Nothobranchius furzeri: one gene and its partner. The protein of the gene in region 1 binds, or shares a complex with, the protein of each later gene. Links are inferred from orthologs where the notes say so. Each region holds a gene or a part of one and is shown in the gene's direction. Other genes may lie near its edges.

The links.
Region 2: the proteins of rnaseh2b (region 1) and rnaseh2c are in contact, whole or in part, in a crystal structure (PDB 3PUF), measured with the Homo sapiens proteins. The link is inferred for Nothobranchius furzeri from reciprocal best matches to the Homo sapiens genes RNASEH2B and RNASEH2C. Residues at the interface, in NP_078846.2 of Homo sapiens: Arg14, Gln15, His16, Val17, Phe18, Leu19, Val20, Ser21, Glu22, Leu24, Leu35, Met36, Phe37, Val38, Lys39, Leu52, Glu62, Lys64, Phe66, Glu68, His70, His71, Ser72, Trp73, Phe74, Ile75, Asn76, Gln77, Ser78, Val79; in NP_115569.2 of Homo sapiens: Ile9, His12, Arg13, Val14, His15, Leu16, Ser18, Ala27, Thr28, Leu29, His30, Leu31, Leu32, Pro33, Cys34, Glu35, Val36, Ala37, Val38, Asp39, Gly40, Pro41, Ala42, Pro43, Val44, Gly45, Phe48, Phe63, Val75, Pro77.

What each region holds. Positions count from the first base shown.
Region 1 is NC_091754.1:26,824,112-26,827,128, forward strand, and holds part of rnaseh2b (ribonuclease H2 subunit B), read left to right. Parts: intron 1-1,877; coding exon 1,878-1,985; intron 1,986-3,017. UniProt on the Homo sapiens protein: Non catalytic subunit of RNase H2, an endonuclease that specifically degrades the RNA of RNA:DNA hybrids. Participates in DNA replication, possibly by mediating the removal of lagging-strand Okazaki fragment RNA primers during DNA replication.
Region 2 is NC_091741.1:88,186,285-88,190,336, forward strand, and holds rnaseh2c (ribonuclease H2 subunit C), read left to right. Parts: upstream 1-1,455; 5' UTR 1,456-1,858; intron 1,859-2,528; 5' UTR 2,529-2,529; coding exon 2,530-2,683; intron 2,684-2,812; coding exon 2,813-2,925; intron 2,926-3,010; coding exon 3,011-3,130; intron 3,131-3,364; coding exon 3,365-3,388; 3' UTR 3,389-3,552; downstream 3,553-4,052.

The sequences.
Region 1 (3,017 bases):
GCGGGGCCATGATGTAGGTGAAAGCCGGTGTGTAAATGACAAATAAGGCTTGGGCGCCACCCAGGCGGTAAGTCGTCAAGTATTTACCGCCCGACGAGAAAATTTAGCGCCATTGGCGCTCGGGCGCTTTAAAGGTCCACCCCTGCAGGAGCATAAAATGTGTTTTCAGTTTCTCTTTTAAACTGATTAGACTTGATCTCTAGTGCACTACAAACTGATGTTCCCCTAACCTTTTTAAAATACCGTATTTTCCGCACCATAAGGCTCACCTGATTATACGGCGCACAGCCAATCAGCGTCCTAGTTAAAGGTTTGGTCGTCACATAAGGCTCACTGGATCAAAACACGCACCCCGCAAAGCAAACGAGCGTCCCGGTCGGCACAGTTGAGGCAAATTGGGCACTTAGATCAAAGTCAAACGTTACTCCACTCATTGTCTATACTAAAAAATAAATTTCTCCTTATTAAAGTAACATAAATGTCCCAATTTAATGCACGGGTGCTTTTAGCAGCAAGAATGAAGATTTAAACTCTCTTCACCTGGATTTTAACGGCGTCGGTGAGATGGGCCTGCACGGAGTCGCAGATCAGCATGCCTGGATAAGTGTGGAAGAAGCCGTCCTGTCTTTTGGGGTACACCTCCCGCCGCCACGCCGCCATCATGTCCTCATCCATCCAGCCCTTCGGGTTCGCCTTGATGATCACGCCGGCGGGAAACTTTTCTTTGGGTAAAGTTTTCCGCTTTAAGATGACCATCAGCGGCAGCTTCTGGCCATCAGCCTGGCAGGTGAGCACGACTTCTCGTGGCCGGTCGTCCGCACAGACACCGTGCTGGTCCCCATTTTCTCCACGGTCCAGTTCACCAGGATGTCGAAGGTAAGCAGGACCTCGTCCATGTTGGTGATGTGCTGGGGCTGGATGTTTTTGTCTGCCATCTTCTTGGTGCAATAGGAGCGGAACAACTCTAGCTTCTCAGCGTAGTCGGCGGGTAGTTGCTGCGAGACGGTAGTTCTGGTGCGGATAGAAAGCGCTCGCCTCCGCATGAAGCGAAAACACCAGGAAGGGCCTCCTATGAAGTCCCCAATGTCCATCTCTCGTGCTAATGCTGCAGCTTTGAGACGAATGAGACGCTTCTGCTCGCCACTCGCTGCTCTGCGACCCACTGCTCAACTCGGTCTTCAAGCAGCGGCCATCTTGCCTTGTTGCCTCTGAAGCTACGCTGTGTTTTCTTCACCTGCAGCAGCTGGTCTTCCAGCTTTCTCCACTTGCGGACCATCGACTCGTTAATCTTGTATTCTCGCTGCTGCTATGTTTCCATGCTCAACGGCGTGAGCGATGGCTTTGAGCTTGAACTCTGCCTCATAAGCGTGTCTCTTTGCTGGTGCCATGGCTGGTTACCGGTATAGCTGTGTGGAGCAGTGCCACACCTTTTATTTGGTGAGGGTGATAAGGACGGCGCTGGGGGGTACCGCGCTGGGCCAGAGTTACCTTAATACATGTATAAAAGGCACATCCGTATTAAAAGGCGCACTGCCGGTTCAGGGGAAGATCAAAGGTTTTTATTAGCGCCTTATGGTGTGGAAAATATGGTACCTTTGCTAGTTTGAAGTCAAACTTTGACAAAGTACAAAATCAAATGTCACTTCTTTTTGGTAATCGGTAGTAAAACTTGCCTGAGACTCAGTTTTTACCACCTTACTCTGTGCATGTTGACTTTATGATGAACTGATCAGTAAAGTGCATGTGTAAGCGCGAGCTTCAGCTACACAGTTGTCATATCTCAGCAAAGTCTCTGCATGTTTCCCAAGAGCTTTGACATATTTCTACCCTTGTGACCTGCAGAAGTGAAAGTGACACGGTTCCCCTTTCCCCTGCAGATGGAGCCTCTCTGTACCTGCTGGGAAGTGGAGATTTACAGCTGTATGAGGTCAAAGCGTTTGAAGAAGACTTCCACTCCTGGTTTGTTGACCAGACTGTGCAGAGGGGTGGGTCCCATTTCTCATGACCGCTGTCCCGCGGATTCAGCTCAGCCAGTAGGAACAGATTCAGAGTCGGCTCCTTTTGTTTTCTATCTGTGAAAAGTTTGCAGTCAGCTTTCACGTCAGTGCACTTAAAGGTTCAGAGTTCAAATTATCATTTAGAAATGATCTAAAGTATTGTATCAAACACTACATGCCACCAGGTCTGAAAAGCTGATGCTGAACTCTTTAAATGGTAAATAATACAGGTATCTTGTTACTCACATGTATAATTTTTAGGGCTGGGGATAAACGATTATTTTTTAAACGATTATTATGACGATTATTTTATCGATTAGTCGACTATTCTAATTGCTATTAAGATGATTAATCTAACGATTATTTTTTTATTGCACGATTAATAAAAACAAGAAAATCTCAAATTCCTCCAAAAAGTTGATAAATTGTTACTGTAAGAGAATAAACACTACAGACCTTCCATTTTGTATAACACTGTGTTTATTGGTTATGTTCTGGTGACGTGTAGAACTTGGGAGTGCAGGCTGCTGCCTGAGAGGTGGCTGGAGCCGGACTGTCTCCATGCTGCTTTGTTTTGGTCACTTATGTGCGGGAGGGGAGTGGTGTTACGACTCTTCCTGAGGAGTTTGGCTCGTGTGCAAAAAGGAAGGGACAATAACGGGATTTAAAAGTTAAAATGATGATCAGGTTTATTTACAACTACAAAAAAACATAAATCTCTCCATCCACAGGTTGGGAATAATAAAACTAATTCTGCCTGTGGGGAATTAAAACAAAAGTACAAATAAGTAGGGATGTCCCACTGGGCAAAGATTACTGGGTTCTGGACCAAAATAAGGATCTCCAAAGGTCCAAACTCTAAACTGGGTGGTTAAACCAGACTCAAGGTGATATTTTAAACTAAACCGAAACCCACAACACTCTAAATGTAATAAAAGGAAGATCTACACCACAAAAAAGATGAACTCTAAACCAAAACATAACAGCTTATCCAAATGCAAGAAGCTGTTAGCGAAAATG
Region 2 (4,052 bases), on another chromosome or scaffold:
AAATCAGAGGAGCGGAACATTTGAACACATTGATTTAAATTATGGAAAAGAAATGAATGAAAGGAGTAAAACAGCCAAAAAGTAACAGTTAGATTTCACAATAATTAAAACTGACGGCTGGAAGGTTCTTGGGTTGAGATTTTCTTGGAATTTAAAGACGAGAAATTATGTACAGACTTATAAAAAGCAGACAGACGACGTTACAAAGTAAGAGAACAATCCTGTACATTCAGAGAGATGCAAACCACTGAGTCCAATCACAGTCATGAGGGAGAATCTTTCATACCATTTGACTCTACAGTATCAGCCTGACGGTAAGGTTTCTGCTCAAAGAGGGAGAAATTAGTCAGGTTTTAAAAGGTGGATAAAAGGTCGGTTACAGTAAGGTCGAGTTATTTAGGTTCTAGTTGTTGTCACTCATGTTAGATTTCATTTCCATTGAAAATCAACATTTTTAAGATGAACTCATAGGCAGGGAGAAGTTTTTAAAAAGTAAACTAAGTATTTTTAAACCAAAAGTTAAAAAAGCATACATCTGAATTACATTTCCTTCTGTCCTTATGAGATGAACTCACCTCTGGTTTCTTTTGGACCAAATATGAGCTGTTGGGAAATCAGACCCGACGTTTCTCAGTCCTCTCTGGTGAAACACAAACAACAGGCTTCAAGGATCTCATCCTCAGTGCCTCTGAGCCCAAAGCGGGACCGGTTTAGTCCAGCCCACAAGGACAGGGGACTCTTCCAACTAGAGCATATATATACATGTCAGTTTTTTCTCCAGTGTCTCCATGAGACCCCTACAGTGTAGATGAGACCCCTACAGTGTAGAACAATGATATAATGATTAAATTAATGAAATGTATATGTTTGATTATTAAAGTTTACATTTGAGTTCATCCTTTTGGGGGGTTTGTGTTAGTTTGCCCTCTTACTGTTTCATAAAGCTTTTTTTAATCTTGTGAATAGGACTTTAATAGATTATTTTATACGTTTTCTATTTCTGACTCTGATTGGCAGCTCCTCACCTGCTTGGTTCATCATAAATTCACATGTGGCTACTTTACTGATCAGCAGATGATTAGGTAAATAAATTGTAAATGTTTTCTGTGTAGTTCACATTTGCCATTTTAAAGTTTTCTTTCATGAAATGCTGCTTTAGCAGGGATGTTTGCTGTCCTTGCAAAAAACAAACAAAAACAAAAACATTACCCTGAACTACTCGGCACTAAGCATGTTTAATATTTAGTTACACCCTCTCTGGGTGGTGACAATATGTATTTGACCAATTTAGCAAACATTTTGGTGATTTTTTCCCCCCAAGAAGATGATTCAGCAAGATTATCATACTGTTTGACACTCATTTTTTTTAAGTCAACCTTAAATTGTATAAATTATAATATTGGCAGTGACAAAACATATTTTTTTAAAAACTAAAACTAGCTTTTAGTTTATTAACTCAATATTCCTCCTAGCACTTCAATGTTCCCTGTCCCACTGGTTGCAGTTCAGGTCCAAATAATGAAATATTTTATCTAGGGTATTTTAGCTCAAAGGTTTTTATTTATTTAGATAAAACACGAATTACTCGTATACGTAATGAACAAAAATAAACCCACTAATGTGATCTCCAAGTCTCACACATTTCTAAGTAAAAAGTAAAAAAGAAATTTCTTATTTTTCATTGTTGAACGTCAAAGCCAAGTTAAACCTCACCAACAGGGGGCGATAATCTGCGACAGAACGGAAACACCTCGCCAAAATGTCCTTGAAGTAGAAGAAGAAAAATTTTATCCAATCAAACGAGTGTCTCACATTATGCGGAAGTAGTTCCGTTACGCGTTTGGAAAACAGTAGAAAGGTAAACGTGGAGATTTATTTATCCAACGTTAGTTTAAACGGTTTAACTACATGTATAATAGTGTTTGAGCAGAACAAAAAGTCCTGGGTAATAATGTAGTTTTAATCCTGTAGTAGGGAAGTGTTTATGTGATGCAGCATTTAAATTTATTTTCAGCTTTTGAATTTCCCTCTAAATAACTTCAGTAACTATTATTTACTTTGTCTAACAAACTGTTTTTAATGTCAGTTCTAGTGAGTGCAGAAAACATTTGTGTTTAGATGACGATGGTGATAGTAGTTATAATGAAAACAGGACATAAATATAGTTTGACAGTAGAGGAAAAAGGAAATAAAGAGATAAATACAAGGGAGTATGGCGTGTTTTCCTAAAAAGGACAAAAGTAATAATAGAAATGTAAATATATTATTTTTAGATGAAGGTTCTGCATTTATTTACACCTAAAAGAAGAGATGAAGCCATCTAATGCGTATAAATAACAATTATATCAATAGAAAAGCAAATAGCCAACCACCAAGTTGTGATCTACGCTCAGATTAAGTCATGTTAGGCTTTGTGTTGCTCAGAGAAAAAGGAAGAGACCTCTGCAGCAGAAAAAAATCTTGTTTGGAAAATGTCTAAAATGACTCTTTTAGTGTAATCTGTTCAGTCTCTTGTGTTCTGGCTACAGGATGAGCTGTAACACCAGTGTAACACATCTTGATGTGACTTCACTGGGGCAGGTCAAACAGGCCCAGGTCCACCTCATGCCCTGTGAGATTGAGTATAATGGACCTGCCCGGGTCTCAGAATATTTTACTTCTACTACAAAAGACCGTAAACAAGGTACACAGTCTCACATCTGTTACTTGTAACATGTCTCTACTGGCGGTCCGTGTCGCTTACTACAAGTATCTAACTTTCAGTAGTTTAGTTAGTCCAGCAACAGTTTATCATTTAGTTTTCTAATTACAGAGAAGACGGTGTCATTCAGAGGACGTGGTCTGAAAGGACAGGAAATCAGCTGTCCACAGGGCTACACAGGCCTGGTGTTGAAGGAGATCAACAAGCATGGCTCTGACCAGGAGGTAAACATCAAACACTTAAGGCGATTTTCTGTCATTTCTACATGTTAATTTATACGTGTGTGTGTGTGTGTGTGTGTGTCCCCAGGACAGGACAGTGAGGGTATCATCTGTGTTTAACAAACTCACCTACTGGAACCTGGAAACTCCTCCAACCTCTGATGATACTGTGGTGATGGCCATGGACTGGCCTGAGCTTGCAGATGCTGTAAGTTAATTAGTCTAACTTTATCTGGATGATGGAAAGATTAAACTGAACAGCTGTGACTTTACTTATAATCTCTGACATATAAGGTAAAGCTGGAATGTGAGCACGTGTAGGAGCAACATTTACTTGTTCCTATTTGCCTAAACACAAACTTCATTAGGAACTAAGAACTATAGAAAACACAAGCTGGTGTATGGATTTGAAGTTGGATGATACTGTTTTGTTTTTTCACAGATCCACGGGCCGGTAGCTGAATGAACAGACTGATAAAACACCCTGTTAGGGCTGATGTCTCTTCAGCTTTTTCCAAGTGGTACACATCTTGCTGCCAGCTAACCAACGATAACAGAGCCAGCTATTATATTGTACCAATTATTGCTCACATTTTATTAAAAAAAATTGTAAATAAAGACAAAACATTACTGGCTGGTATATTGTGTGATTTAATGGAAAACAGCCACATTTGTGCCACCTTCACAAGATTATTTTTATTCACAACAATTAGATTTTGGACGTTCACAACCAAAAAAACACTAAATATTCACCGCCTTTGATCACTTTCAAAGTCATTGGCTTGTATGCTAAATTCTGCTCACACTTCACTGTACACATTTCAAAAAGTTCTTCAGGCACAGTCCAACTTTACATTATATAAATAAGGCAGAAACGTGCACGTGTGTGTGCACTAGAAAAGGGTCACACTTGGTAAAACAGAACTAACAGCGGATCCCTTCATTTTAATTCAAACTGAAGTGGAAAAATAGAATTAGAGATCTGGATGAAAACTGTCAACACTTGTTGAGTATAAACTGCTTTTTTATTACTAAATTTATCTTAATTTTAAGAGATTGTCCTGTTTTCTAAGAAGTACCACATGTTTGTTACATACGTCCTACAGCTGCAACAGTAATACACCCCCACT